Linked DNA regions of Elephas maximus indicus. The protein of the gene in region 1 purifies or fractionates together with the protein of each later gene. This does not show direct contact. Links are inferred from orthologs where the notes say so. Each region holds a gene or a part of one and is shown on either strand. Other genes may lie near its edges.

Region 1 (8,173 bases):
TCATACACAAATTGTTCCATGACATTGATTGCAATCTTTATGAAGATTTTAATGAAACCACAAAACTATAAAACAAGATTGTTGATATCCAAATACAAACTTGACTTGGCTCATTTAAGTGTTTTCAGTGCAAATGCTAATTTTGCATTCAATCTCTAAACTTCTTAACGAAGAAAATGAAAAGATTTCATCTACTAAATGTCCTGCGAAGAGTCCCTGGGTGGTGCAAACACTTAAGTGCTCAACTGCTAGCCAAAACTCTGGTGCTTCAAACCCACCAGAGGCACCCTGGGAGACAGGCCTAGCAATCTGCTTCTGAAAGATTACAGCCATGAAAACCCTATGGGGCGGCTCTACTCTGTACACATGGTGTCGCCATGAGTCAGCACCAAGTCCATGGCAACTAGAAACAACGAACGTCCTGCACACCTTGTAAACAACACTGCTAAACGAGGAGTGTGGTTTGCTTACATGTGACATGGCAGCTTTCATAATGAAAGTTTTGGTCACTTTAGTTTCTTCAAAATGTGGAAAAGCACTTAATCACATTTTTCACTTCATAGAAATGGAATGAGATTGTCTTAGTTATCTACTGCTGCTATAACAGGAATACCACAAGTGGATGGTTTTAACAAAGAGAAGTTTATTCTCTCACAGTTTAGGAGGCTAGAAGTCTGAATTCAGGGTGCCAGCTCCCAGGGAGGGCTTTGTCTGTCAGTTCTGGGGGAAGGTCCTTGTTATCAATCTTCCCCTGGTGTAGGAGCTTCTCAGTGCAGGAACCCTGGATCCAAAGGACGTGCTCTACTCCCGGTACTTCTTTCTTGGTGGTTTGAGGCCGCTCTCCTCTCTGCTCGTTTCTCCCTTATATATCTCAAAAGAGATTGACTCAAGATGCAACCCAATCCCTTAGATTGAGTCCTGCCTCATTAACATAACTGCCTGTAATTCTGCCTCATTAACATCATAGAGGTTAAGAGTTACAACGCATAAGATAATCACATCAGATCACAAAATGGTGGACAACCACACAATACTAGAAATCATGGTCTAGCCAAGTCGACACACATTTTTGTGGGAGACAATTCAATCCATGACAGAGATAATCTCCTTAGACATGTGCCTACAATATGACTATCATCATTGCTGGCCGTAGAAAAGACGTTAAAATATTTGTTTGCCATAAAATCACATTTTCAAAGTGTGCAACAAGAAGAATATCCTGCTCCAATTTGGAAATACATTGAGAATGAGAAAGGGGACAAGGATTACAGTAAAACAGAAACATACATACTGTTTTCTAAAACTGTTTGATAATCCTTGAAGAGGCCATAACGAGCCTAGAAAAAGGATGAACGGACTGCACCTGAGTTGTTCAATGTTCTGTGTAGATTGCAATAAAAACTCACATAGAAAAAAAAAAAAAGACTAAATTTTTTTGTAAGTAAGATTGCTTCATAATTTTTAAACTGACTAATTTGGACTCCAAGTTTGATTTCACAATTCAAATCACCTCTATGCTTTAAAATGATTTTGCCTGGGGAAAAGAGAGTTAACTTATGATGACATTCAACGTATTTCAGAGTGTTTAAAAATGATGGGCATTTTAGACATGGAGAACCTACATGATTATAGATGCAAAGGACCCGATTGACAGACAAAAGCTAGTTTACCAAAGCAAGCTTGTAGATACAAAGTGGATGGACATTTTGGAAAGCTGGAAATGAATTCCTACAAGTTAAAAGAACTGCTGTGTTATTAAGTAAAATCCTAAGTATTTTATGCTCAAACACGTTTGTTGAGAGAATATTTAATGTCATTGCATTGTACTGACACCAGGAATCAGTGCAATGTAGGCATTATAAGAGCAGAGCTGCAAGTCGAAATTAATTTTATGTCTGACTGTATTCAGTTTTACCACTACACAAAAGAAAAGAAAGATACCCTAAAGGCTCCAGGGAGTTCAGAGATGCATTAATAGAAAAGGCAACTAAAAGAGTAAAAATATCCTACTGTATCTTGGGACAGAAAGAAACATGTCATTGTTACTTTTTAATATAGGTAGTATCTGTTTAATTAGTCCCATTGTATTTACATTCTCTTTTTAAAAAGTCTCACATTTATGTATCTTAAGAACACACAATAATATAGCCTATAAAATTTAAATATGTAATGGAATTAAAAAAAGAGTTAAAATAAATTTCTGTATTAGAGGACAGAAACATCATAAAAATATTGTTATATGTTTTTCACACATATTTCTTTTGTTTAAATAATAGCATTTATGTAACAGAAAAGAAATAAAACTATATAATTTCAAGTAAACATCTATTTTTCATGTTTTTAAATAAAAATAATAATGCATGTGTATGATTGTTTATTATATATTATTTATTTCCACACCAGACTGGCAAAAATTAAAAAAAAAAATCAGGCATTTCTAAATGTTAGCAAAAATATGTAGAAAAGACAGTATTATAAACTGTGGGAGTATAAATTGGTACAACTACTTTGTGAAATAATCCAGCAATACCTAGTGTATTAGTTTTCTACTGCTGTGTGACAAATTACCACAGGCTTAGTGGCTTAAAACACATTTATTAGCTCACAATATCTGGGTGTCAGAAGTCCAGGCACAGCTTAGGCGTTTCCTCTGCTCAGGGTCTTACAAGGCTGCAATCAGGTATCAGCCAGGCTGTGTTCTCATCTGGAGGTGTGACTGAGGGAGAATCTGCTTCCAAGTTCTCTGATTGTTGGCAGAATTCTTTTCCTTCTGGTTGTGTGAGTCAGAATCGACTCCACGACACTGGGTTTGTGGTCGATGACTGAGGGCCCTGGCTTTTTATGGCTGTTGGTTGACCTGGAGGCTTCCCCAGAGTCCTGGGGGTCACTTACGGTTTCCTGCCAGGAGACCTTTTTCAGTTCACAACATGGCAGCTTGCTTCTTCAAGGCCACCAGGCCAGTCTCTAGCTCAGTTAGTAAGACAGAGTCTCCCATAGTGAAACACAGTCATAGAATAACATCCCATCACCCTTGCCATATTCTATCCGGTAGAAGTCAAAGTTCCCGCCCCCCAATCAAGGGGAGGGGATTATATAAGGCAACACCAGGAAGCAGAGATAGTTGGAACCATCTTAGAATTCTTCGCAGCACATCTAGTGAAAATAGTCAACCTCCTAGGATCTAGCAGTTTCCCTGTATAAGAATGTTCATAGCAGCATTGTTTATCATAGCAAAAATACTGTTTTATAATTTTTTAATTTCTCAAAATACAAAAAGATGTACTAAGAGAGTCATTAGTTTGTAAAACACCATGTATGATAACGTTTTTTGTAAAAGTAACATGGATGTAGGAATTCTGCTTCCAGCAATGGCATACTGTTGCTGTATTAGACCAACTCTCAGAGAACAACTAGACAAAATATACAAAAGATTAAGGCACTGAAGAGCTACCAAGGCAGTGAAAACCTGTGAGTTCAAGATCTGGAAAAAAGGGGAAGCTCAGCTTTCCACTTGAGATGACAGATTCTGAAAGCAGTGGCTGAAAAACTGAGCAGAGCTTTTGGCTGTCCCTTGGGGCTGGGGAGGCATGGCCAAGGAGAACCAAAACCAAACCTCTTGCTCTCAAGCCAAGGAGAAGAGGCCCTAGTAACTATACCCCACACTTGGCTGGGACCCTCAAGGGCTGTACCCTAGCTAGGAATAAGGATGAACTGGAAATCAACTAGCTTCCATAAAGATGGTAGTCCAGCTCAGAATAATCCTAGTTTCCAATTGGAATAGGTGATCTGCCCTTAGCTTAGCTGTGGTCAGGCATCCTTGCTCCCAAGTCTCTCCCATAAACACCTTCCACTTCCTCAGCACCCCTGCTCAAACTTCCAGTCTGATCCGTCTAAGTGCATCACAGTGGGTAAGCTGATAGGGAAGACAGAAATCCAGGACATACAAACATTGCCTAACCTAGGATTCAGGTGGTATGGTCCTCCCGTCTTTCCCTCACTTATAAATGTAAATAACCTACCCCATCTCTTTTTCCTGGCTTCTCCGCCTATCTTTTAAATTGATTTGATAAAACATGTCGTCTGTGAGACTTCCTATTCCATGACCTCTGCTTGGTTGGCTTCCATCTTTCTTCTTTTGAAGCCACTGCTTTACTTGCTCCCTCAAAAGAAGAATTCCATTATATATTTTTTCCCTTAAATTTAACCATAATATTTATGTGCCCTAAATGTTCGTTTGAGAGCACTTATTGAGAGCAAAACAATTATTTGGGTTTCATATAATTTCTTACTCATATATTATCGGGCAATGGGGATAGGAAAGAATTAGAAGTGGAATACACAGGGACTTCCTGCAACCATGCAGCACGCGAACGCCTTAGACCTGAGGCCACTCACTTTTAACACTTTTTAAATGCCCCCTGGGGCTTCAATACATCATTCATCCAATAAACACGTATTAGGTACTTGCCATGTCAGAAGCTAAATATGGAGAGGTGAATGAGGCTTCATCCGCCCTGAAAAAGTTTAGTGAAGACAGATTTGTAAACATAACTTTGCCATACAAAGTAAGAAGTACCGTCTCTGTCACGCCTCCACGAATCTACAACCCGCGCTGTGGACAGCGAACCCCCTCCCCTACCCCAGGCTCCTTACAGACTGGAGACGGCGAGCGGCGCTCAGTGCCACACTGGTGGAAGACTACGTCTCCCAGCAGCCTCTGCGGCAGGGCGGCGGAGCGGAGCGCGCAGGCGCGGGGACCGGCCCCCGCACGCAGGCGCAGTGCGAACGCCGGCTGAGCTGGTCTCGCTGCTCGGTGCGCGGCGGCGGAGAGCGAGGCCTGGTGAGCACCGCCGCGGCGCCGGCCGGCTCTCCGAGGTTGTGCGCAGAGGAGCTACAGCGGACGGGCGGGCGAGCGGCTCACCTCAGCAGTGGCACCGGGATCGGTTGCCCTCAGCCTGGTGAGTGCTGGGGCCTCGCGGCCGCGGCCCCTCCCCCTCCCTCGGTGCGACCCGCGGGAGGCCCCGGCGTGAGGGCGTGCGCCGGCCGGGCTCGAGCTCGGCTCCCGGGCCCGGGCGTTGGCGGCGCGTCCGTGCGTCACGGGCCCGGCTGTCCTCACTAACGGCCGCGCGGCCGGCGCAGGCCAGGGTGGGGGTGGGGAGCGCGGGCGCGATCGCCGTCAGGAACGCCGGTCGAGGCGGGGCTGGAAGCGGCGCCGGGGACCGCGGGGCGCCGAGGCGGCGGGGCGGGGTGAGGCCGGCCGGGGGCGGCGGCGGGCAGCGCGGAGCGCGGGGACCCGGGCCGGGGAGGGCAGGGCGGCGAGGACGAACCGTCGCCAGGGCAGGAAGGGGCCGTCGTGGGGACCGACGAGTTGGGGCCCAGCCCGGAGCGGCGGCCGGGCGGCCTGGGAGGAGGCAGGAACGACTGCAGTTTACAGATGTCATAACAACCGGGGCCCGAAGCGGCCGACGGGGCTGTGGTAATTATAGGAATGACAGAAGTTCGCGTGTGCGTGGCGTGTGCGACTCGAGGGAAACAGCCAGGTGTCAGGTTCAGCTCAAAACGTGAGGAAACTCAACGGTGACTTAGGGAAATCGTCGCGAAGGAACGTTTTAGGGTCGAACGGAAGGAAGTACTTAACGAGCCCCTTTTCAATGACAGATTGCAAAACAATTGACTTTTAAGATTTAAATTTAGAATCAACGACTGTGAATTTTTTTCTGTAAAGGCTGCTAAATGATGTTTTTCAGTCTTTTTCTTAAATAAACGGTGTCTTCAAAGCCCCCATTTCTTAGCAGGGGATGGGTAGGTGGTCCCGCCGTCGGGCGCCCCCCACCCCCCATGCTTCAAAGCTTATTTTTGGCATTGTTGTTTCCTTAATTTGTTCTTCCTTCTGTAATATTCTGAAAGTAATTCTCACATTACTTTCCCCCGATTTTAAAGACTGAAGAAATGACATTTTCTCAAAGCAAAGTGAGAAGGAACTCTATTTTATTTTTACTGAAATAATTTAGTCTTGGAAGGCCCTGTTTTATGTGCGATTCATGTTTTTGACGTGCAGGACATGAGAGAAAGTAGAGGAATGACTATTAATTGAGCGCCTTTGAAGGCGTAGTGTTAAGTATGTTACATGTATTAAAACATTTAATGTTGTCAGTAACTCTGAAGTAAATTTTTAAAAAGTAAATATTAATTTGTCCTGTTATATAGACAAAAACATCGAAGGTCGGGGAAGTTAAGTAACTTACCTAAGGTCATTCAGGCCTTGTTGGAACCAGCCTTAGAGCCCTAAATCACTTCCATTTTAAGATTTCTTCTCTAATACTCACGGGTTTTGTTTTATTTCATTTATTCAGCTAATATTTATGGAGTGATCATGTGCCTGAGATATAGTCGTCATCAAGACACTGTCCCTGTCCTCATGGAATTTATACAAGACACTGTCCCTGTCCTCATGGAATTTATAATGTAGCAGGAAAGACTAACAATATAAAATACTGACTGCAGGGCATTTTATTAGTCGTTGTAATTGAGCAGAAACTGTAAAGCACTTTACTAAATAGCAAAGGAAGTTCAAATGCAGGCAGACAGTATAATCCTTGAGGAGTTTACAGTCTAATAGGAAATCAAAACATAGAAACCTAGAATGAACCAAATGACAAAAATAAACCTATTCCATGAAATCAGTATACTTACATAATGTTACTTTAGCTTCTCAAATAAATTTTTTCATAGAACTATGATATAATATCATGTACCTTGACTTTTATCTAGGATCGACGTAGAAGAAAGGACATGAAAATAATCTTAACTTCGTTGCTCCTGGAGACACTATTTCTTATTTATTCATCGATCTTCATAAAATAGAGACCTTAGAGACAGATTCTTACGAGCTCAGTACCAGGCTTTTTTCTCGGTCATTTTTATTTTTAGTTTTTTAAACAACTGCTTTTTATTAGATCATGATTGTTTTAATGCCGTTCTGTTTCTCTTTACACTTTGGCTGTCAGGAGGCTCAGAACTGAGTTGTGTTGAATTTTTGTAATTTTCCTTAGCCTCAACTGTGTTATGTATATTTTTTGCGAGGTAGCCTGGAATTATGCTCAGTTGTTTCCTGGCCTGTTTTCTTTGTGTTCTCTTATGCCTTCACTATTTTCTTATTTTACCTTTCCTCTTCCGTTTGAGGGCAGGAATTACATCTTATTCTTTTTATCTCCAGTGTTTTCAGCATATTGCTGGTTGAATTGTTGTTGTTAGGTGCCATCGAGTCGGCTCTGCCTCCTAGTGACCCCGCCCGGTCTTTCACCAGCTTTAGAGTCATTGCTGTGTTTGAGCCTGTTGTTGCGGCCACTGAGTCAGTCCGTCCGTCTTGTTGAGGGTCTTCTTCTTTTCACTGACACTTTACTTTACCGAGCATGATGTCCTTCTCCCGGGACTGGTTCTTCCTGATAATATGTCCAAAGTAGGAGAGATGAAGTCTGGCCATTCTTGCTTCTGAGGAGCTTTCTGGCTGTACTTCTTCCAAGAAATATTTTATTCTTTTTATCTCCAGTGTTTTAGCATGTTGTTTGTTGAATTAATGATTAAATAAAGTCTTGATGATTTTCTGACGTCTTGCCTTTAAATCTGTCAAATTATTTTTGGAAGTATGTGTGAATACTGTGTATAAAATCAACTTTTGATTGACCATGCAAGTAAAGATGACCTAAAGATAATCTCGTTACTGTCTTTGTTTTGTTTTAAGATCTCGGTGTACTTTGCAGGATATTATGAATTCAGCCATAATGGAAGAAAATATCAGAAATGGTGAACACTTCAGTTAGGTGATTTCAGCTGATTTCACTCTTGTTACAGTAAGCAGGAGATAGATGGCCCCAGGCCAGCTGGGGACCAAATAGGGCCTGTGTTAGAAAATTTTCAAGTCAAACATTGAAAGAGCAGAGATGAAGACTGGTGGAAAGTACAGGTGTTGTGTTTTTTTTTTTTTTTTTTTTTTTTTATTGCTAAGATATTGCAATGCTACAGAACAGACCTAAATGAAAATACAGTTCTGACTTAGTGTTGTTGACTAATTGGAACAGTTCTTGAGAGCAAGCAGTAATCCAGAATGTGGATAATGGGGGTAATCTCCCACACATAACAAGAGTAATGCTGCCTTCCTATGCAATCAGTCTGC
Region 2 (8,481 bases), on another chromosome or scaffold:
GTTTCTGTCTTAACCTAACTGGCAACCAGGCTCATCCTAGAGAAGGGACTCAGGAAGATCTTTTTCTCAGTAACTGGGGTCTTTCTTATCATCCAGTTTATAGTGCCACTTTATCAACCTCTGTCAATTCTTTTGTGCCAATATTTTGGAACACTTTCTCCTCTTTCAACTTTAAAAGTAAAATTTAAAAACTGAAAATAATGGGAGGTTCTGCTTCAAATGGTTCACTTTACCATATTTTAATAATTTCAGATAGTATGATAGAAAATTCTCTTAAAAATTCATTTTCAAAATGATTTAGCAAATATTTCCTGACAAATGCATCATAATCATCAGTTATGAGAACTTTTCTATATACAAATTGGCAGTGAAAGTTTTAGGCTCTACAAATACCAACAAACATTTTCAATGGTCAAGATATGTAGGCAAGTGTTTTTATCCACATGTTCACATATAATTTTAATTTCTTACAGATTATACCGCAAAGAAGTTCTACAGATATTAATAGAGAACTGTGTTTCTAAGGGCTATGTCTTCCAAATGGAGATGATTGTGCGGGCGAGACAGTTGAATTACACTATTGGCGAGGTATGGGATGAAAATCCTTCATAAGGAAACAGTGAGCTTTAGACTTTTTATATTAAATTGTTTTAACCTTCATACTACCAAATTAACATGGAAGACTTCCCGTTGTTTAGACTGTCCATGTACTCAAAAATGAAAATTCAAATCCCTTTTAAATATGCTTGACCGACCAAGGTTTAACACGTTAATGGAAAGGAGCACTCACATATAAATAATTAAATGTTGCTGGTACCTTGTCCATCCCGGCCTTTTCTTTTGACCATTAGCACTGGAGGGATGAGTCTCTTCATGGCATTTCCTCTTGCCATAGCTAGCAACCACCCTACTTTAGAGTGAGTGGTGAATCCTATGTGCCAATTTCCATGAGTAGATGAAAATTACTAGGGAATACCAAGCGAGGCAGAGAGATATCTTAATATTTAGGGTGAGCCAGTGAGCTCCTTGGGAAGACGGCCCTCATTTTAACACTGATACCCTTAATCAGAGACTCCTTGCTGTCCAGTCAATTCCGACTCATAGTGACGGTGGCGTAGTGGTTAAGTGCTATGGCTGCTAACGAAGGGGTCGGCAGTTCGAATCCGCCAGGCGCTGTTTGGAAACTCTATGGGGCAGTTCTACTCCGTCCTATAGGGTCGCTATGAGTCGGAATCGACTCGAGGGCACTGGGTACTGGTTTTGTTTTTTTACCCTTAATCAAAGGAAGAAAATGGCTAACTTGAAATGCCACTTGTCTTGTGGCAGTTAACAAGCCTTTCACATAATGCTAAAACATAGTGATAGTTAAATTTGACACATAACTAAAAAAATTCAGTGAAAGGCCATTTTACTTGTGGAGTATAGTTTTTCTTTGAATTGCAGCAAGACTGACTTTAATGTATGTATTTTTTTAACCAGGTTCCAATATCATTTGTGGATCGTGTTTATGGTGAATCCAAGTTGGGAGGAAATGAAATACTCTCTTTCTTGAAAGGATTATTGACTCTCTTTGCTACTACATAAAAGAATTCATGTATATTTATCATGTTCATTTCAATTAAAGCATTAAAGAAGCCTGGTTGATGATTTTTATAAAATGTACTCTCTTAGAGCGTAAATCCTAAGGTAAGGTGAATTTCATGTAAATCTTTTTTTCTGAAGAAATTCCACCACTTAATATTTCAAATTGAATTATCAAAATGAGCAGTTTTCTCAATTTTCATTTTACTGTTACGACCTATAAATAGATGTATATGGTTTTCTTTTGCATAAAATATTGCTACTTTCATTAGAGTATGTGAACGCAGAATATCTTATATGGGGAAGAGTTTAAAATATTCTTTATAAGAACTGAATTATAGCTCTTTGTACCTAACATACATCAGAAGAGAAATGTTAATTATATTCATGAAATGTAAATGGCCGTTTCTGTATGAACTGGAAAAAAAAAATACACACTTTTGCCCTTTGCTCAAAAATGTATCTCATATTTCTTAAACCAGCTAAAACAATACATTTAGAATAAAATTTTAGGGTTTTGGTTCTTTGCAGTTATTGAACTGATGAAATATTTCTTCTACTAAAGCAGGTCTAAGTATGTATTGTGAATTGGAAACGGCATGGTGGCAGTTGATTGCACGGCTGGGTTCCCCCCCCCCCCCCCCCCCGCTTCTAAGCAATAACCTCTATAAGTAAGGAAAAATATTGAAAGCACTGAGGCACAAAATATCTTACTGAATTACTTTTATAAAGATTTTTCTCTCAAAATATTTGTTTTTATATTATTTCAAGACCCTCACCAAAGCACTTATCTTTTCTACTATGCAAAAAAAAAAATCCCTTCCCTATAGCTCTTCTCTCCATTCAGAAGGTTGTTCTGCCAGTTAAAACACAGGTTGTTTAATAAAGCCCAGTGCACATGTTCTCTTCACTTACCTTCTCTAAAGGTAGGTATTTCAAAAAAGGTCAGTTTCTAATGGTACCACAGATTTTGGAACCTGCTGTAGGTTTTAAAGTTTGGATGGATAAGACACACCTTGAGCAAATAAGGTTAAGATCAGGTTGATTCAACTTTGCAAGTAAAAGGAAGAGATGTCTCTAAGTTTTCTAATAATCCTATCGAGTGAACAGTATTCTTAATTACTGCATTTTCCAGGTTTAATTTGGCTGCCCAAGAAATTTAAAAGTCTGAGTTGTCATTTGCATTTCTCTCAAAACAGATCCTACCAGAAATGAATGCCAGACTATGAATTCTTTGGTGTCATTTTTAACATTAAAATCCCCTCCCTCCCCATAGTTGATTGCATAGTACACATTCCAGTAAGGGCCACTATTTCCCTTTTGCCCAGAGCTATTCAGCTGACCCACCGGGGGACCCACCTTTCTTTCAGAAATGATTCCTCTCATGGGAATCTCCTTAAAAAACCAAAAACCCAGTGCCCTCCACTAGGAAATTCATCAGTGTTTGATGTAAACTCTTTAGTCTTAAGCTAACAATAGAAATGTAAATATTCTCAATGATTTTCAGTGTTACTCTGTTCCAAATCTATTCTTTCTAACCTAAATGCAAAGTTAAGTTTTCAGTATCCAGTGTGTGGAAGAGATTAAGTTAACTACCTCAGAAAACCCACAGTATAGTATTGCCTTTCATACCTCACTAGAGTAGGTAACTTTTGTCTTTTTAACCTTTTCAGTTCTTACTCCCACAATTATTACAGTGTCATCACCATTGGGATTTATTGTAAAGAAAGTTTTTGAGCAGTCATTTAGAAAAGAATCTGGACTATTTAGATGCAAGTTTGTAGTAAATCTGATGACTTACATACTGGGAAAATGTCTAAAACACATCTGAATCCAGCATCCCTTTTTGCTTTATAAATGAGGTCAAGGATGAAACCCTGATGTTTTCTATTTGTATGGTCACAGTATGAAATCTAAGCATATCTAAGAAAAACTAAAGATAAAATTTGTATTAACTTTTGCCTGTCTTCTGCTATGTGTAATCCATTCTTCATCTTTGTTCCTCTTAATGAAATGCTTTGCCACCACCCCCCCTTTTTCTTAATGTTTTTCAGCCATTGTTTTCAAGTACTTACTTGGTTTGCATAGATAGGTTTTATCAAAATTTCAGAAATTAATGGAATACTGTAGTAAATAAAAGACTTCGTTAAACTAGCTAACCATAGTCTTAGACAAAGGTCTAACTACAGTTTTATATTATCAATTCAGATTCTTTTGAGATGTTAAGTATGGTTTGAGAAATAGCAAGACAAGTGTAACAGCACATACTAAGAAGCTGTTATTCCTTCCCCGTTGGTATTTACTTTTCAATATGCGTAACCAAAGATACGCTCTCAGATGTACTCGACTATAAAAGGTGGCATCAAAAATGTTGATAGTGTATTGGTTGGGGTTGGCCTAAATTTCCATAGGCAAAACTGCGCGGTATCATGCTATCCAGATGGAGAGCACAAAGTCATTGTGCCCAGGAGCACAAACTGTAGTTTTCAAGGATCTTGTGGAGGCCCATGCCAACGGCTTCACTAGTCCAGCGGCCTCAGACACTGGAGATTCCATTTGTTTTCTTCAGGCCAAAAAGAGACCATCACTGTGACTTGGAAAGAATGGCAAGTCCCAGGACAACAGCCAACCTTCTGTAAAAATAAGCCCCCATCTACGAAAAACCCCACCCCAGCAGGAAGGGGTCGGGCCATCCATGGGGTTGTGGTTCATCTCAAGTCGTGTGCAACAGGCCCTCACACCTCATTTAAGGCAGGAGGCGTCAGGCACCGCCAGCCAGGTGCCCTGCTGCTTCCCGCCGCTGCCCGTCCTGTAGGCGTGGGGCCTCCGAGCACGTGGAGCCGCCCCGGGGCTGCCCCGCACACCCCCCTCCCACTAGATGTAGTCCAGGCTCTGCTGGGCCCGCGCAGGGATTCCCAACACGGCCACCTGACTGAGTGCTGGGAGTGCTGCGGCCCGCTGCTTCTGCCTCCGCCGCCGGCGCTGCGGCCAGAGGAAGGCGCCCGCCGTGCACAGGGGCCCTGGAAGCGCACTGCGGCCATTATCCACGGCGCCTCCTAGTGGGTCAATGGCAGATTCTCTTGGTTCTCGCGATAGCTCCCTCTCAGTGGGATTATATAATCCCCCTCAGGCAGGGTCGGGGAGTGCTAGTGGCACCCTCCCTCAGAAAAAGTTAGGAGCAAGAATTGGTGGGAGTAAGGGAGCGATCCCCGGAGCTTCGGGGTAAAAGGGTACTATTCCCCACTGCCCCCCCCCCACTTGGCTGGACAATGAGTCCTCTTATTCTAATGAGGCACTTACGTCACTTCCGCTCTTTCTCGGCCGCCATTTTGGCTAGGGCAGGTTCGGGGACTCGCTCCGAGGCGCTTGTATTGTCTGCTGAGGGGAGACGCGGGATCAGCCCCCTCCCCCGCCCGTTGCCGCCGCCGCCTCCACCGGCCCGGTCTCCCCTCCGCCGCCCGCCGGGATCCATGAGCTGAACTCCCACCCCCCGGTCGCCGCCATCTTGTGCCCCTCCCCCTCCCGCAGGCAGCGCTAAGGGGGATTTTGGCGTCTCCTCAGGCACAGCTCCCTCTCTCGGTCCCCGCTGCTGAGGAGCGAGAGGAGCGCGGCCGCCGCCAGCCTGCCCGCGCCGGTGAAGCCGCCTCTCCCCACACCCTCCGTCTCCTCCCTCCGCCCCTCCTTTGTCTGCACCGCTCGACGACGCTGCCGCCGCCGCCCGCGCGGGGACTGGAGGGAGCCGCTCGCGCCGCCGCCGCCGCCGCCGCCCGCCGCTCTGCTGCGCCCACCGCGCCCCCCGGCAGCAGCCGCGGCCGCGGCGCGAGCCGGAGCCCGCCGAGCCGGAGCGCAGCGAGGCCCTGGGCGCGCCCTCGCCGCCGCCACAGCCGTGCCGCCGCCATCCGCCCGCCGCCGCCGCCCGGCCCCCGAGCACGCCGGCCCCGCGCGCGCCTCGAGGCAGAGCCAAGGTAAGCCCCGCGCGGCCCTGCGCGCCCGGCCCGGCCCGGCCCGTCGCCCCTCGGGCCGCCCCGCCGAGCGCGGCCCTGCGGCGCGGGGCGCAGTATTGTTTGGATCCCCAGCCCTCCAACCACACACGGGCTCCTTTGCATACTCCCCGACTGATGGCCCGCCCGGCCCGCGCCGACCGCTATCCGGGCGCTGCTCCGGGGTCCAGGCGCCTCCTCCTGCAGCCCGACCCCCTTCTCCGCCCCGTGAGCCCGCCGAGGCCAGCAGCCGGCCTGGTCCCCCGAGCTTTTGCAGCTAATCCTGTGTTCGTCCACCCCGCCCCCAGCAAGAAGCGATCTTCTCCCATCTCTGGAACTAATTCCTCCCTCACCAACCGAGCCCCCCACGCACACCCCCAGTGCCCGGAACGAACCTTCTGCCAGGTCTGCCCACCCTGAGCTGGGGGAGGGGGCATTGGGTTGGGGGCGGGTAGCATGCATGGCACGGAGTAAAAAAGTCTTTGCCTATCCTGTGCAATTCTCTGTCCCCACCATTCCAGCTCCCGTCCTATCCTAACCAGAGTGCACCAGCACCCCTTTTTTCCAGTTCCAGATGCCTGGTCACCACGATCTCTTACAAGCATGCTAAGCCCCAACTTTAAATAAGTTAATGAAAAATAGAATGCCCTAAAGCAGCGAAAAGATGTTTATAATGCAATGAATGGGGAGTAGTTGCTTGAGCACTCTTTTCACCTCTTCTCTCCTCTGGGCTGCCTGCCTCCCTTCCCCTCCCCCTCAACCTGGATGTCTGTCTGCTGGAAAAGGCGCGATTGCTCCTCTTCCTCTTCTGCCCAAGACCAAGCTCTAAGGTCTTAGATCCCTTTTGGCCACACACCTACCCACACTAAGTTTTCTTGATGTTCTTGCGTTCACCAATTCCTCTGGATAGTTCTTCCCATAACCCCATTTCTCAGACAAAGGCTTAGGAGGGAAAAAAGAACCAAACTGCTTCCTGTGTTTGCCATTTTAATGCTGTCCATCCCCACACACCCAGTCCCCATCTGTGATGCTTCTCGAGCCTGTGTCTTGAACCTTCAAGATGAGAAGAAAAAAAAATCTCTTGGGTAGCTTGATACAGTTTCTTTATAAATCTGCATTGTTGCTTCTGGTTTATGGCCATGAAGAAAATACCAGCCCCCACCCAAAATGCACCGCAGCCAAGTCGGCTAAAGGCGATGAGTGTTGGAGTCAGTAGGGGGCGCATTCTCTGCACTGGGTAAGGCTGCAGAGGGGGGAAGGGCCCCACAGTTAGAACAGGATGTGCTTCACAGCGCCTTCTACAGACCATGGGAAAATGGGCCCAGCAAGACACACACACACACTCTTAGTTGGTGAGCTGACAGCAACATGGCGAAGGAGTGAGTCAAGAGCAGTGATTTTATTTCTTTTAAAGAATCCACCCTGCATTTTAGAAGTTTTCTCATTTTATTTGTTCAAAACTGTTGACCCTCAGACAGTCCATGTTTGTTCTTGACAAGTCGCCTTGGCACATCCTTGGTATACAGATTTCACCTTCTGTGGAATTCTTCCACCTTTAACTTTGAACGTGTCACCATTTCTTTTCCAAGGTCATGTAGAAAAGGAGAAGGTTTAAAACCTGAGAGTAAGGAGTTTGTGGCATTGTGAATTATCCTGCTTCTTCTTAGTCCAAATCTTTCCAACTCTTTGAGAGTTAAAATCATTCTTGAGGGATGTTAGACTTCAGTGGAGCAGTGATTTTCATGATGGGTGTCATGATCTGCAAAGCCTTGTTGGTTAGCATAAAGCCCATGTTGAGGTCTTCATTGTCAAACTCAACAGAGTTGAGTGTAAAATTTCGGTTCTTTCCAACTTTGAACTCTTTGTCATCATTATCTCCGTAGCCAACCACCGTTGGAAAAGAATTGACACCAGTCTTCTCTGTGAGCACCCACCTTCTTGGGGTGTGTTGATTTCTGTAGATTTTACTTCTGTTGTTATTTCCATAGGTGTGAGATGAACAGTGCAAAACCTAGGCCCCAGCTTTTGTACCATGATGCACACAGGGTTGTATTTGTTGTAGTGAACTGATAGGTGGCCTAGTGGTTATGCCCTGTACTACCATTTTAAGGATCTGGACTCCATTGCCTGCTTTGCTCTTTGGACCACATTGTCAGTTCACACCGGTGGGTATACTCATTTTGGAGGGTGGGAAGGAACTGCAGCAACAGGGAAGCTAGAGACTTCTCCCTTCTTGGTCACCACCAAAGCCAGTGCTTTCTCGATTTCAGCCTAGCCACATTACTCAAGGAACCTGGTTAGGGGTGGTTGCAGTAGTGGGCTTATAGAATAGAGAAATGACTTACGGCTTTTTTAAGAGAAACATTTTAAGTTGACAATTTTAATTAATTACATTCTGCACTCTTGTGTATATGTGTGTTAAGTACTCACTGTTATTTGATGGCCTAGTCTCAAGCGTTGGTAGACTTCAAAGAACTTTCAAAGATTTCCCTGCCCAGAGCAGGCCTTTCCATGAACTTGTTTTGGCTACCAAAGATTGACGGTTGTTGATACTAAGGAGTACTTTCAAGACTTGGTTACATGTCTCTAACGTAGATCCACAGAAATAAATTTATGGAAAATGGATTGGATTTACTCTTTGATACATAGGTAACCGGTTGGTGCTTAAGAGAGAATTCTTTTAGGACATTTGCTACCAAGTAACAGTGAGTGAAAAAGAGGTAGCCTGATTTGGGTATTTCATAAAATCACATGGTATTATTTGTAATTTTTAAAATACTGCTTAGTATTTTTAAAAAAGATTTGATTCTGACCTGATTTGGTCTCTGATAATACAGTTACACAAGTTTTAAAAATGAGTAATTTGAAGACAATGTACCTGAGGATATGTTCAAGTTTGACGTTTGTAGAGGTACTTTGT
Region 3 (8,382 bases), on another chromosome or scaffold:
GCACTAGATAACTAAGGCAAAATTCAAAACAACAAAAAAGAAGATCTGAATAGAAGCTAGGAGTCAGAACTGAATCGTTGGCAACAGGTTTGGTTTTTTTGGTTTTGTTCCTGAATAGGAAGATTAAACATCATGAAGATGTCAAACCTCCTGTTTTAGTCATCTAGTGCTGCCATAACAGAAATACCACCAGTGGATGGCTTTATCAAAGAGAAATTTATTTTCTCACAGTCTAGTAGGTTACAAGTCCAAATTCAAAGGCGTCCAGGGGAAGGCTTTCTCTCTCTGTCGGCTCTGGAGGAAGCTCTTTGTCCTCAATCTTCCCCTGGTCGAGGAGCTTCTCAGACACAGAGATCCTGGGTCCCAACGACTGCTCTGTTCCTGGTGCTGCTTTCTTGGTGGTATGAGGTCTCCAACTCTTTACTTGCTTCCCTTTCATCTATTGAGAGATAATAGGTGGGGCAGGCCACACCCCGGGGTAACTCCCTTTACCTTGGATCAGGGAGGTGACCTGAATGAGGGTCCTGTTACAATCCCACCCTATTCCTCTTTAACACACAATTACATTCACAAAATGGAGGATAACCACAGAATTCTGGGAATCATGGCCTAGCTAAGTTGATACACACATTTTTGGAGGGATGTAATTCAATCTATGATACCTCCCCTAGACATTCAGTAAATTAATTAATTAATTCTATCCTAATAAGCAGAGGCCTGGTGGCACAGTGATTAAGAAATAGACTGTTACAGTAGTCAAAACAGCCTGGTACTGGTACAACTAAAGATACATAAACCAATGGAATGGATTTGAGAATCCAGACATAAATTCATCTACCTATGACCAGCTGATGTTTGACAAAGGCCCAAAGGCCATTAAATGGGGAAAAGACAGTCTCTTTAACAAATGGTGCTAGCATAACTGGATATCCATCTGCAAAAAAAATGAATCAAGACCCATACCTCACACCATGCACAAAAACAAACTCAAAAGACCTAAATATAAAATCTAAAATGATAAAAATCATGGAAGAAAAAATAGGAACACCAGGGGCCCTAATACACGGCATAAATAAATAGTATACGAAACATTACTAACAATGTACAAATACCAGAAGAGAAACTAGAGAACTGGGAGCTCCTAAAAATGAAACACTCATGCTCATCCAAAGACCAAAAGAGTAAAAACACAACCTACAGACTGGGAAAAAAATTTTGGCTTTGACAAATCTAATCAGTGATCTCTGAAATCTACAAGATACAGCAAAACCTCAACAACAAAAAGACAAATAACCCAATTAAAAAATGGACAAAGGAATATGAACAGGCACTTCACCAAATAAGACATTCAGGCTGCTAACAGGTACATGAGGAAATGCTCATGATCATTAACCATTAAAAATGCAAATCAAAACTACAATGAGATACCATCTCATCTCAACAAGGCTGGCATTAATGCAAAAGCACAAAATAAATGTTGGAGAGGCTGTGGAAAGATTCGAGCTCTTATACACTGCTGGTGGGAATGTAAAATGGTACAACCACTTTGTAAATCGATTTGGCGCTTCCTTAAAAAGCTAGAAATAGAACTACTATACAATCCTGCAATCCCACTCCTTGGAATATATCCTAGAGAAATAAGAGCCTTCACACGAATAGATACGTGCACACCCATACTCACTGCAGCACTGTTTACAATAGCAAAAAGACGGAGACAACCAGGGTGCTCATCAACGGATGAATGGATAAACAAATTACAGTATATTTACACAATGGAATACCATGCAATGATAAAGAACAACGATGAATCCGTGAAACATCTCATAACATGGAGGAATCTGGAAGGCATTAGGCTGAGTGAAATTAGTCACAAAAAAACAAATATTGTATGAGACCACTATTATGAAGAACTCAAGAAAAGGTTTAAACACAGAAGAAAACATTCTTTGATGGTTACAAGGGTAGGAAGGGAGGGAGAGGGGTATTCACTAATTAGATAGTAGACAAAAATTATTTTAGGTGAAGAGAATGACAACACACTATACAGGGGAAGTCAGCATAACCAGACTAAACTAAAAGCTAAGTTTCCTGAATACAACCAAACACATCAAGGGACAGAGTAACAGGGGCAGGGCCTGGGGACCATAGTTTCAGGAGACATCTAGGTCAACTGGTATAACAAAGTGTATTAAGAAAACATTCTGCATCTTACTTTGGTGAGTGGCGTCTGGGGCCTTAAAAGCTAGCAAACGGCCATCTAAGATGCATCAACTGGTCTCAACCCACCTGGAGCAAAGGAGAACGAACACTAAAGACACAAGGAAAATACGAGCCCATGAGACAGAAATGGCCACATAAACCAGACTCCATCAGCCTGAGACTGGAAGAACTAGATGGTACCTGGCTACCACCAATGACACAACAGAGAATCCCTGATGGAGGAGAAAAGGGGGATGCAGACCTCAAATTCTAGTAAAACGGCCGGACTTAATAGTCTGAGACTGGGTGGATCCCAGAGGTCATGGCCCCTGGACTCTCTGTTAGCCCAAAACTAAAACCATTCTTGAAGCCAACTCTACAGACAAAGATTAAACGGGACTATAAGACATACAATGATACTGGTTAGGAGTGTGCTTCTTAGCTCAAGTAGACACATCAGACTATGTGGGCAGCTTCCGTTTGGAGGCAAGATGAGAAGACAGATGGGGACAGGAGCTGGTTGAATGGACACGGGGAACACAGGATGGAGAGGAGTGTGCTGTCACATTACAGGGAGCGCAACTAGGGTCACATAACAATGCGTGTGTAAGTTTTTGTATGACAAACTGACTTGAATTGTAAACTTTTCACTTAAAGCACAGTTAATAAAAAAAAAAAGACATGCTCCTAACCAAAAGGTCAACAGTTCGAATCCACCAGCTGGTCCTTGGAAACCCTATGGGGCAGTTCTACTCTGTCCTATGGAGTCACTAGGAGTCAGAAGCAACTAAACAACAATAGGTTAGTTTTTTTTTTTTTTATCCTAGTAAGCACACCAACAATCTCCTATTGAAAAAAGCGCAGAATACTGTGCATAGTTATGTTACCATTTCTGTGAAGAGGGGGTACTGTATTTGTGTACATATGTAAATATTGAATTCTAGCTAGAAAACAGGTCTCATCGGTTGCTTCTGGTTAGAAAAACAGGTTAACTGAAACAGGGATGAAAGGGACACTTCACATTGTATAACTTTTTGGTACAATTTTGAACCATGTGAATGTATTACCTATTCAAAATTAAATAAAACTAAGGAGAAACATTACCCATTTAAACATCCACAAATACTACCCAGCTATTTGAGCACAGATTTTTCCTTGCTGCTCCCCACCGCCTTGCCAAAGAATTCATAAAAGGAAAAACAGTAAGATTCTCCTAGTCTTCTAAATAGAAAGGACTTTGCAATCCTTCCACCCCTCTAAAATTTCAGCAATTAACAAAGGAAAAAAGAATAGCAAAACTAGAAGCAAAATCTCAAGCGAGTGATCAAAATTTGTCCGTTTTTATGGAGTTTCTTTTAAAATGGCAGAAAAGTGGGCAATACTGTTATTTTCATATAACAGCTAGATTTTGATTAATCCAGTGTGCATGTAAATCATATTTTTTGTTAATCTTATCTAACCATTTTCCTTTTGCTTATCCTGATGCCAGCATTTTTAGGTCAAAGCCCCAGATCACTTATTGAAAGGAAAATTTCTTTCAATTTCCTAATTTATCATTAAAAAAAAATTTTTTTTTAATGTATGGTTCATTACAATTTAGAATACCACACACACACAAAAAAAACCATATCCATTGCCGTTGAGTGGATTCCGACTCATAGTGATCTTAAAGGACAGGGAACTGCTCCATAGGGTTTCCAAGGAGCACCGACCTTTTGGTTAGCAGCTGTAGCTTTTAACCGCTACACGCCAAAGTTTCCATAATTCATTAAAAAAAAAAAAAAAACCACTGCCATTGAGTCTATTCCAACTCATAACAACCCTATAGGACAGAGTAGAATTGCCCCATAGTTTCCAAGGAGCGCCTAGTGGATTTGAACTTCTGATCTTTTTGGTTAGCACCAGTAGCTCTTAACTATACCACTTACAACAAGTACATACCTAAAATTGGAAACTTAAGGATAAGCCGGTCGGCAGTGATAGTACATTTTTTAACTATGGAAATTTTGAAGTGCAGAAAAATGGCTCTAAGAGGGAAAGGTTACAGACGGTAGAAATTAACAGGTTACGTTTCCACATCACCGCCCAGCTATCGGTCCAGTTGGAGGTAACAGGGTTTGCTAATTTAACGGAATAATACGCAGATTGAAGGTACTCGGTGCACAATTGTTAGTGACCAAAAAAGACAGCGAGAGTTAGCAGGTATTGCTGGGGTTGAACGAGTGACCTAAGAAACTGGGGTAACCAAACAGAACTCGAGACGGCTAGGACTAGCTGCAAACGGGCTCCACAAAGCAAGTCTGAACTGGACTGGTCGTTTAACTTTATTCTTTCAGGTAACATGCGCCCCCGAGTTCCTAAATCCTTAGAACGTCTCGGACTGCTGGGCTTGTCTACTTGAAAACTGTACGAGAACCTGCTTTCTGATATAACGAAAAGAAACTGAGGGCGAGCTATGGTTTCTGTCCGGCCCGCTCAAGTACAGGAGTCTTCAGGAAGGAGACCCACAGGCCGCGCAGCTACCGGCGGCTCAAAGTCAACCACCGGGCGAGGGAGCCTCCGGCGAACTGCAACTATCGGCCCTCCTCCGGCGGGCGGCCCGGCTCCCCCTCCCCGACCCCGCGCCCGCCCCCCGACCCCGCGCCCGCCCCCCGACCCCGCGCCCGCCCCCCGACCCCGCGCCCGCCCCCCGACCCCGCGCCCGCCCCCCGACCCCGCGCCCGCCCCCCGACCCCGCGCCCGCCCCCCGACCCCGCGCCCGCCCCCCGGCTCTCCCCGCGCCCGCCCCCGGCCCCTCCCCCGACCCCGCGCCACCTCCCTCCCGGCTCTCCCACCACCCTAGCCCAGGCTTCCGGGGGAAGGGGTCGGGCAGAGCGTGCGCGGCGTCACAAAGCGAAGCTGGGGCGCTTGGGTTGCCGCCAAGGTCCAGGGCTCCCCGGGCGAAGTCCACTCGCGGCCCGCCCCGCGCAGCGGAAGGCCCAGGGCCGCCTCGCTCCGCCCTCAACCCCGTCCCCTCACGTAGGCCGATCCGGCCGCAGCCTCGCGACGGCTCGGGCGCCGCAAAGCATGCTGGGAGAGCCGGCGCGCGCCGGAAGGACGCGCGGGCTCTGGGCGGCGAGGTTATAAAGGGGAAGGAGCCGGCGGCGGGCGGAAGTGGGCGGTTCGGCGGCCAGCGCTGGTGTTTGGGCCTTGCGAGGGGCGTTCTCTGAGGGCCCCGCTGCGGCTGCGGTGACAGGGCCGTTCGCGTCCGCGCCCCCGCCTCTGTCCCGGTGCAGCGTCTGCTCGCGGCCTTCGCGACCCGCAGGCCCAACATGGCGCAGGAGGTGTCGGAGTACCTGAGCCAGAACCCGCGGGTGGCTCTCTGGGTGGAGACGCTGCGCTGCGACGGCGAGACTGACAAACACTGGCGCCACCGCCGGGAGTTTCTGCTCCGCAACGCCGGGGACCTGGCCCCCACCGGCGGCGTCGCTTCCAGCCACACGGATGAAGCTGCCGACGCCGAGAGCGGGAGCCGCAGTCGGCAGCTGCAGCAGCTCGTCTCCTTCTCCATGGCCTGGGCAAACCACGTCTTCCTCGGGTGCCGGTGAGTGAGGAAGCGGCTCCCCCATTTTGCCCTCTCTCCCCGAGCCCTCAGCGAAAACCCGCTGGCTGTGGGGCGGGGAAGTGTCTGTGAAGGCGGGAGTTCGCGGGACCGGCTGCCCTCGAAGGCTGAGAAGGGCGTCTCCGCGAGCAGCAGGCTTGTGATAGACACTGGGGAGGGACCCCGTGGTGTGGGGCTGCCGAAGTTGTTGGCGCTGAGCTGACAGAGCTGTTGTCGACGGACAGTAGATCACAGGTTGGTGAGGATAGACCCTGCCTCCCAGACCCTGGGTCATTTGTTGACGGAGTGTCCAGGAAACGGTTCCTGGCAGTACATTATCTCGATTACAACCAGGAAGTCCAGTTCCTTTGGCCTGTTTTGCACACCAGAAGTATTAAATTAGAAGGGAAAAAGTTTTTTTTTTTTAAAGTGAACTTTTCCCCTCTTTTTCAGGTACCCTCAAAAAGTTATGGATAAAATACTTAGTATGGCTGAAGGCATCAAAGTGACAGATGCTCCAATCCATACAACACGAGATGAACTGGTTGCCAAGGTGAAGAAAAGAGGGATATCGAGTAGCAATGGTTAGCAGATCATAGATGTGAACATACATAGGAGTTTAGAGCATAAGTTTGATATAATTTGGCTTTATGTTATTACTAATTTTTTAACAAGTTAGAATTTATCTAATGCTATTAATCAAGTTGGAATGTTAAATCTAAAATATATATCTCTATGTTTTTAGGCTCTGAATTTGATAGTTTTGTTTGACTGCCTTAGATTTTGAAATGTCAAATAATTGTGTCTGTTGCTGTTAATTTTTAATGCTAGAAATTAATGGTGCTATTCAACACTTTTAGAAATTAATGAAGTTATTTCATGCTTCTTAAACTAATAGTCTTGAAATATTTTTACCTTCTGACCTTATTTTAATAAGTATCTGTTATATAAATTTTCAGTGGATATGTATTAGGCAGACTTAGTCACATATCTCTGTTTTCCTTCCTTTTAGAAGGGGTAGAAGAACCATCCAAAAAACGAGGCATAGAAGGAAAAAACAATTCTGCAGTTGAGCAAGATCATGCAAAAACTTCTGCCAAAACAGAATATGCATCAGCTAAGCAGGAAAACAGTTCAACATGTACGGGGTCGTCCACCAAATCGGAGAATAGTGGGAACTCAAGTCTTAGCTCTGGCATATCCTTGAGTGAGACTATCTCTACAAGTGATGGGGATAGACCCAGTTCCAGCCAAAGCAGCAGCAGCATTTCCTCTCAGGTAACAACGGCAGGGTCTGGAAAAGTTTCTGAATCAGAAGCTTCAGATAAACATGGTTCAGCACTGTTTGTTTCCTCTTTGTTGAAATCAAGTGTGAATAGTCATGTGACCCAATCCACTGATTCCAGGCAACAAAGTGGTTCACCTAAAAAGAGTGCTTTGGAAGGCTCTTCAGTCTCAGCTTCTCAAAGCAGCTCAGAGATTCAGGTGCCCTTGTTGGGCTCCTCCGGAAGCTCAGAAGTAGAATTGCCACTCTTGTCTTCTAAACCTAGTTCAGAGACAGCTTCAAGTGGGTTAGCTTCTAAAACTAGTTCAGAGGCAAGTGTTTCATCATCAATTTCTAAAAACAGTTCTTCATCAGGCACATCCTTGCTAACTCCCAAGAGTAGCTCCTCAACAAATACATCACTGCTGACTTCCAAAAGCACTTCCCAGGTAGCTGCATCACTTTTAGCTTCCAAGAGCAGCCCCCAGACCAGTGGATCTCTGGTTTCCAAAAGCACTTCCTTAGCAAGTGTGTCCCAGCTAGCTTCTAAGAGTAGTTCTCAGACTAGCACATCACAGTTGCCTTCTAAAAGTACTTCACAGTCAAGTGAGAGTTCTGTCAGAGTCTCTTGTTGCAAGTTAACAAATGAAGATGTGAAACAGAAGCAACCTTTTTTTAATAGACTGTATAAAACGGTAGCATGGAAGTTGGTAGCTGTTGGTGGCTTTAGTCCCAATGTGAATCATGGAGAGCTCCTAAATGCAGCTGTTGAGGCTCTCAAAGCAACACTGGATGTGTTTTTTGTCCCACTAAAAGAACTGGCAGATCTGCCTCAAAATAAGAGCTCTCAAGAAAGTATTGTTTGTGAATTAAGGTGCAAGTCTGTGTATTTGGGCACTGGCTGTGGAAAAAGCAAAGAAAATGCAAAAGCTGTTGCATCAAGAGAAGCACTGAAGTTATTTCTCAAGAAAAAGGTGGTGGTAAAAATATGTAAAAGGAAATACAGAGGCGGTGAAATAGAAGATTTAGTGCTTCTTGATGAAGAATCAAGGCCTGTAAACTTACCGCCAGCGTTAAAGCATCCTCAAGAATTACCGTAATGTGTTCAAAAGATCACTGCATAAAATACCTAGTATTTGGAGAGAAAAACTGGCTTACTTTTGTACAATATAAAACAGGCTTTCACAAATTTTGTATTCCTTTTTTCCAGTTTTGCAGAAAATTTACATTCTAGTTCTCTTCACAAAGTAGAAATTGTAAATAATTTACAAATGACAGTACACATTAAAAGGTATGCATTAACAGCATACCAGTATGCTGTTTTATTTGCTGAAGAAAA
Region 4 (7,383 bases), on another chromosome or scaffold:
AAGGAGACAGAGAAGAGGAACAGGAAAAGTATTTTGAGAAAGAATGGGCAAAATTTTTCCCGATTTGATGAAAACTATTTTTTATAAACTCACAGATCTGGTTCAACAAATCCCAAGCTCCACAACTACAAAGAAAACTATCTGCAAGGATATCATCAAATGTGTGAAAACCAGTGATAAAGAAAAAATTTCGAAAAGCAGCCCAGAGGGAAAAAAGAAACTACATACAGGATAACAAAGATAAAAAAGACGGCACGCTTCTCATCAGAAATGCTAAGTTCTCTCGGAGTACTGGTGCTTTCTTAGTTTACAGAAGCAATAACCTCATGCATCATTTACACTGTTTTCACTGAATTCTTGTCTTTATTCTCTCTTGTTAACACTAAGATTGAATTATACAGACACTGAGTATTACATGAACGGTCATGTAAATACTGTCTGAGCGTGTACACTCGTGACTGTGCAGTAGAGCAACATACTAAGGAGTAATTAATGAAGAGAGCTATCCCGTAGTTGTTAGGTGATGGCGAGTGGATTTCAACTCATAGTGACCTCGCGTGTGTGACAGAGAAATGCGCTACAGAATTTTCCAGGCTGTAATCTTTATGAGCCTGGTGGCAGAGTGGTTAAGAGCTATGGCAACTAACCAAAAGGTCGGTAATTCGAATCCACCAGGCACTGTGGGACAGTTCTACTGTGTCCTTTAGGGTCGCTATGAGCCTGAATCAACTTGATGGCAACAGGTTTGGTTTTTGTGTGTTTAACCTCTAAAAATATCTCCTATGGAGAGTAATAATAATTATTTTCTACTTCCAAAAATTCATCCTACAAGCATCTTTTTCAGGAGAAAGTTTCCCTCTTCAGGCAACAGAAATTCCAAGTAAGAGTTGCTTCAAGGGACTCTCTATGGCTTGATATCTGATTATGAAGACAGAAAGTGTCCCATCAAGTAACAGCTTAATTAGGCAAAACTGAGCAAACATCAGAGAAGACTTAAGAAAGAAAACAGAGGAGTACTTACAGGGACTCCTCTCTATCCGAACTGTTTGAAGATTAGAGTTCTTTCTGGAATTAGGCTTGGAGTTGATAAGCAACCTGTCCCATATTCCTGGAAAAACACACATGCACATGATTTACTATGTCATAAAAAATAAGGGCCTATCAGCAAACCTCCCATGACCAGTCTCAAGTCTTGACTGCTCCACATCCCCTGAGATATTTTTTTAAAAAGAGGTGCTCCAAGCTCCATTGCAACTTGTTTCTCATCGTTTAGTTCTTTATATTTATCTATTACCCCTTTCTTAAGCCTGTCACACACATCTATACCCCAAGGCTAAGTGACATAAATGCACACTAAACTATCTTTCTGGATCAGAAGTTCATCAGTAGACAGATGTGGGCCTGTAATGACAGAATGGAGAAAGCAGTAAAGAATACAATAACTGTTCAGTGAAGCCAGAAAGCATTGCTGTGTAATATTGGGCAAGTCACCGAACCTTTCTGGGCATTACGTAGTTTTTTCATTTGTAAGACATGCCTGCATGGTTAGTTCCCCTGAAGATGTCCAGCTTCGACAAAATAGCCCTTTGGAGAAATTTTGTGTCTACTTCCACCTCCACCTTTCAGCTTCATCTCTCACTACTCCTCAAATCAACCCAACTCTCCAGCCCATCAGCAATCCTAGAACAAGATTTGTCTTTCAAAACTCAAGGATTTGCACACCCTATTTCTAATACCTGGAAAATCTGTTCACTCTCTGATACCAAAATCCTGTTCATCCTCAAAGCAAAGCTTTCAAACATTTATTGATATTGCTACTGAAAGCCTAGCAATTGGATTAGTATTAAGAACATGGATTCTGGAGCCAGGCTGCTTGGATTCAAATCCCAGTATGACTACTTTCCTGCGGAATGATCTCCAGCAAGTTACTTATCTGTATGATAAACCATGCCTCCATTTCCTCCCCTATAAAATGTAGATAACAGAGCCTACTTCATGGGATTGTTGTGAGGATTAAATTAGATAATTCCTGGAGTACAGTAAACACTACATAAGCTTTGGCTTCTGTTTGTTAAAGCCATCCACTTGTCATGTTTCTGTTACAGCAGCACTGGATAACTAAGACACTTGGTAAAGCAGAGGGTGAGTGAAAGAAAGGAAGACCTTTAACTAGATGGATTGACACTTGAGCAATGATCTGAGCATGGCTCAGGATAGGGTCGCTCTGAGTCAGAACCGACTCGAGTGCACCTAACAACACAATTGCCCCACAGGGTCTTTTCTCCCATGGAGCCAAAGGTGGGTTCAAACCGCCGACCTTTCCATTATCTGCTCAACAGCTTAACCACTGTGTCACTACTACCTCCATGTTCAAAATGTTAAGAGTGAGGCTTAATGAATGTAAATAACCCTCTTAAGGTTCCACAGCTAATTACTCATGGAGCTGGGATTCGAACCCATGATTTTTAATTCTGTATTGTTTGAAATGCTGTGTAGATTTCCTGGCACCGTCTACGAGAGAGCAGCACCAAGTAGTTCTGTGGTATATTGGGGGCGTGGGGAGGTGGGTTATTATCCATAATATCCATTGGCCGGTCCCCCATCAGCCAACTCCTTCATCCCACACAGGCGACCCTAAGGCCCTCTCCTTCGAGAAATTCGGGTGCGCCCCAGCTTCGGGGGCCGGGGAGGGCGCGTGGCAAATATAAGAACCACCGGCTCGAGGAGCTCTAGGGCCCGCACGGCTCTGGGACCCGGCCCGGTGCTGGGTGCCCCCCACCTCCGCGATGGCGGGACTGACCCAGCCCTGAAGCACCCACGGGGCTCCCCTCAGGGTTACGGGCCTGAGCAGGCAGCCGCCGGCCCCGGGCTGCTCCGGCCGCCACCCCCCGCCCCGCCGCACGTGCGCGCCCCACTCCGCCACCGCCACCGCCCGTCACCTCCGAGGCCGCCGCTCCCGGCCGTCAGCAGCTCCTTGGACACCGACACCCCCGAGCAGCCCGGGGTGGACAAAGAACAGTTCGGCCTGGGGTCGGGTTGACCGTGCATCTCCATGCTTCCCGCAACCCTCAGATCGAGCCGGCCAGGCCGGATGTAGGGAAGAGGCCAGGGTAGAAGGCGGGACCAGGGCCGCCATTGGAAGAAACTCGGAGGTGGGCGGGGCGAGGGGGACAGGGCGCGGGGGGGGGAGTGGGCGAGGGCGACACCTAGCGGAGCGACACCTGGCGGAGCTACCGGGCAGCGCAGGAGCGTTCAGGCATTCCTACCATGAAGCCCCTTGGGGAAAAAAGAGCTGGCAAGGCTCTATTTAAACAAAATATATAAATGGTGACATGAAGAGCGCAGCATGGGGCTGCCCCCCCTTTATGCTTTTAACAATATTTATTGACCACCTGCAGTATGCCCAGACTCTTCTAGACGTTGCGGAGTTCCCAAAAGCAAAAATCTTAAACCAATCTTTTTTTCTACTCGTTTCTGAGCAGGGGCTCCACAGTCAGCCAGAGTTAAATCCAGTCCCAGGTCAACCATTTGCTTGCTACCTGTGACCTTCAGCAGATCACTCTCTGAGCCTCAGTTTCCTCCTCTATAAAATGGGGATGATAATATCTACTTTACAGGGTTGTCGTGAGGGATAAAAAGGAAGAGGACTGAAATGTACGTAAGGGCACAGGCAGCCACGTTACTGTTATTATTATAATTAGTTAATGTAACCAAATTAAAAAACGTAGGGCACAAATAATTATGGGAGAAATGACAGTAGGTACTGAGAGAGAAGTTGAACAAATGTGTATTTGCTAACTGGCTCTTTCATTGATCCATTGACCAACTGAAAATCTTCCCACCTCGGTAGTCTGGGGTTCTAGCCTCTGGGAATGTCCCGTATCTCTTTTGCAAATTGTTGATTGACTGAGACCAGAATCACCTCAGGGGGGCATCTCTGGTTCTTAACAATAATTTAGAATTTTAGACATTCACATCTGGCCAAGTCAGGCTAGTAGATGCACTGGCAAAAATCAGTCTTCCTTCTAGCAAATGATGTTAACCAGAAAAACAACTTTATAAAATATGGTGGTAAATATAAAAGATAGCTTTTCTCACTTTTTATCTTTTTAAAAGATAATTACTGTTTACAGCAAAAATAAACTAATGAGGAACACTAAATTTTAGAGGAACGATGAACCTGGGACATCTTGTGTATCAGAAAGCAATGAAGCTCTCAAAGACTATTTAGGGCATGTCATAAGGACCCAGAAGCGAACTCCAAGAGATTCCTACTAGCCAAAGTTGGGACAATTAGAACACCAAGAAGAATACTGTCTATAGATGGTTGAAATACATCAAATACATTAAAAAAAAAAAAAAAAAAGCATAAGTCTGTGACAATGATGAAAATAAATGAACAAAAAAAATTAAAAACCTCTCTTTAGTTGCCTTTGCTGGTTGTTAGACCACCACCTCTACTCTGAAAATTATAAAGGCAAACGTTAAGCATTTTTCTTAATCTTTACTGCAAAAACTATGTTTCAGACAACCAAGTAGTTGATGTGGGAAAGTTCTTTTTAGAGGATAATTCTAACTGATCAATACATGCAGAGTTAGAATAACACCATTTTGCAACCCTCATGCATCAAGCAGGAGTTCCTAGGTGGCAACGTGGCTAAGTGCTCAACTACTAACCGAAAGACTGGTGGTTCGAACACACCCAAACAACAGTTAGGAAGAAAGGCCTGGCCATATTTCTAAAAGCCTTGAAAACTCTACGGAGCACAGTTCTACTTTACAACACAAAGGGTCGCCATAATTCAGAATCAACTCGTCAGCAACTGGTTTAGTTTTTTTTGCTTTGGCATGTGTCTTGGGCATCTAGTGTTTCTGTAACAGAAATAGCACAAGTGGATAGTTTTAACAAAGAGAAGCTTATTCTCTCACAGTTCAGTAAGCTAGAAGTCCAAATTCAGGGCCCAAGGGGAAGCCTTTCTCTCTCTGTCGGCTCTGGAAGAAGGTCCTTGTCATCAGTCTTCCCTTGGTCTGGGAGCATCCCAGCGCAGGAACCTCAGGTTCAAAGAATGGGCTTTGCTCCAGGTGCTGCTTTCTTGGTGATATGAGGTCCTCTTTCTCTGCTAGCTTCCCTTTCCTTTCATCTTTTGAGAGATAAACAGTGGTACAGGCCACAGCCCAGGGAAACTCCTTTTAGGTTGAATCAAGGATGTGACCTGATAAGGGTGATACAATCCCACCCTAATCCTCTTTAGCATAAAATACAATCACAAAATGGAGGACAATCATAGAATACTGGAAATCACGGCCTAAGCAAGTTAATACACGCATTTGGGGAGGGACATAATTCAATCCATGACATTGTGGATCAAGGCTACAGTTATTAATGGATGCTGTCCTGGATGGAATCGTGTCCCCCCAAAATATGTGTCAATTTGCCTAGACCATGATTCCCAGTATTGTGTAGTTGTCCTCCATTTTGTGATTTGATGTAATTTTCCTGTGTGTTGTAAATCCTAACTTCTGCATGGGTTAATTAGGTAAGATTAGGCTATGTATCCTTTCACCATACCTATTCAATCTATATGCGGAGCAAATAATCCCAGAAGCTGGACTATATGAAGAAGAATGGGGCATCAGGATTGGAGAAAGACTCATTAACAACCTGCCTTATGCAGATGACACAACCTTGCTTGTTGAAAGTGAAGAGAACTTGAGGCACTTATTAATGAAGATCAAAGACCAAAGCCTTCAGTATGGATTGCACCTCAACATAAAGAAAACAAAAATCCTCACAACTTGGCCAATAAGCCATATCATGATAGGAGAAAAGATTGAAGTTGTCAAGGATCTCATTTTACTTAGATCCACAATCAACACGCACGGAGCAGCAGTCAAGAAATCAAAGGACACATTGCATTGGCAAATCTGCTGCAAAGGACCTCTTTAAAGCACTGGAAACCGAAGATGTCACCTTGAAGACTAAGGTGCACCTGACCCAAGCCGTGGTACTCTCAATCGCATCATATGCATGTGAAAGCTGGACAATGAATAAGGAAGACTGAAGAAGAATTGATGCCTTTGAATTGTGGTGTTGGCGAAGAATATTGAATATACCATGGACTGCCAAAAGAATGACCAAATCTGTCCTGGAAGAAGTGCGCCCAGAATGCTCCTTAGAGGCAAGGATTGCGAGACTGCATCTTACATACTTTGGACATGGTGTCAGGAGGGATCAGTCCCTGGAGAAGGACATCATGCTTGGCAGAGTACAGGGTCAGCGGAAAAGAGGAAGACCCTCAATAAGGTGGATTGACACAGTGGCTACAACAATGGGCTTAAACATAACGATTCTAAGAATGGTGCAGGACTGAGCAGTGTTTCGTTCTGTTGTGCATTGGGTTGCTATGAGTCGGAACCAGCCTAATGGCACCTAACAACAACAACAACACAGGTTATGTTACAGAGGATTAGGGAGTGATGTTACACCCTTACTCAGGTCACAGCCCTGATCTAAGGGGAGTTTCCCCAGGGTATGGTCTCCATCACCTTTTATCTTACAAAATATAAAAGGAGAGGGGAGCAAACAAAGAGATGAAGGCCTCATACCACCAAGAAAGAACCACAGGGAGCAGAACATGTCCTTTGGACCCCAGTCCCTGTGCTGAGACTCTCTTAGACCAGTGGAAGATTGATGACAAGACCTTCCCCCCAAAGCCAACAAAGAGATAAAGATTTCCTTTGGGGCTTGCGTCCTGAATTTGGACTTCTAGCCTCCTAAACTGTGAGGGAATTGGCATCTGTTTGTTAAAGCCATCCACTTGTGGTATTTTTGTTATAGTGGCGCTGGATAACTGAGACAGATGCTAAAACCATTTAGTGAAAGCTTGACTGCAAAATTCATAATGAATATATCACACTGAGAAAATCCGGCTCCACCAATCATCCTAACATCATGAAAAGTGTAACTACCAGATACTGTGTGTCCCTGCTGTAACGCATCAGGAAGTACACAGCGCCAACTAATAAGTTTTCTTACCTCCCCACCCCACCCCCAAAATTAAACCTTTCTCTAACCAAACCCCTACTGTTAACTACCAGTTTATAGGAAATATGACCAACAGCAGGACAAGGGAAACTACTCAAGACAGCAATCAGCCAAATCTTGTTGTCATCAAGTGGGCTCTGACTCGTGGCAACCTTATATATAACAGAATGAAATATTCCCTGGTCCTGTGCCAGTCTCATAATTGTTGGTATGTTTGAGCCCCTTGCTACAGCTATTATGTCAATCCATCTCATGAAGGTTTTCCCTTGTTTTCCCTTTTTTCTACTTTACCAAGCATGATGTCTTTTTCTAGCAACTGGTCTTTCTTGACGATGTGT

The links.
Region 2: the proteins of KPNA1 (region 1) and ADNP purify together in Homo sapiens (co-immunoprecipitation; 3 studies listed by BioGRID and IntAct, with this or other methods). This does not show direct contact. The link is inferred for Elephas maximus indicus from reciprocal best matches to the Homo sapiens genes KPNA1 and ADNP.
Region 3: the proteins of KPNA1 (region 1) and CDKN2AIP purify together in Homo sapiens (co-immunoprecipitation; 4 studies listed by BioGRID and IntAct, with this or other methods). This does not show direct contact. The link is inferred for Elephas maximus indicus from reciprocal best matches to the Homo sapiens genes KPNA1 and CDKN2AIP.
Region 4: the proteins of KPNA1 (region 1) and NOPCHAP1 purify together in Homo sapiens (co-immunoprecipitation; 3 studies listed by BioGRID and IntAct, with this or other methods). This does not show direct contact. The link is inferred for Elephas maximus indicus from reciprocal best matches to the Homo sapiens genes KPNA1 and NOPCHAP1.

Annotation. Positions count from the first base shown.
Region 1 is NC_064819.1:13,087,597-13,095,769, reverse strand, and holds the start of KPNA1 (importin subunit alpha-5), read left to right. Parts: upstream 1-4,780; 5' UTR 4,781-4,958; intron 4,959-8,173. UniProt on the Homo sapiens protein: Functions in nuclear protein import as an adapter protein for nuclear receptor KPNB1. Binds specifically and directly to substrates containing either a simple or bipartite NLS motif.
Region 2 is NC_064843.1:18,763,069-18,771,549, forward strand, and holds the start of ADNP (activity-dependent neuroprotector homeobox protein), read left to right. Parts: upstream 1-5,441; 5' UTR 5,442-5,546; intron 5,547-8,481. Other genes in the region: DPM1 (dolichol-phosphate mannosyltransferase subunit 1), read left to right, coding at 474-588, 1,480-1,584.
Region 3 is NC_064839.1:81,729,216-81,737,597, forward strand, and holds the start of CDKN2AIP (CDKN2A-interacting protein), read left to right. Parts: upstream 1-5,274; 5' UTR 5,275-5,510; coding exon 5,511-5,782; intron 5,783-6,232; coding exon 6,233-6,363; intron 6,364-6,791; coding exon 6,792-8,143; 3' UTR 8,144-8,382. UniProt on the Homo sapiens protein: Regulates DNA damage response in a dose-dependent manner through a number of signaling pathways involved in cell proliferation, apoptosis and senescence.
Region 4 is NC_064822.1:171,793,413-171,800,795, reverse strand, and holds the start of NOPCHAP1 (NOP protein chaperone 1), read right to left. Parts: upstream 3,097-7,383; 5' UTR 3,055-3,096; coding exon 2,940-3,054; intron 1,109-2,939; coding exon 1,022-1,108; intron 1-1,021. UniProt on the Homo sapiens protein: Client-loading PAQosome/R2TP complex cofactor that selects NOP58 to promote box C/D small nucleolar ribonucleoprotein (snoRNP) assembly. Acts as a bridge between NOP58 and the R2TP complex via RUVBL1:RUVBL2.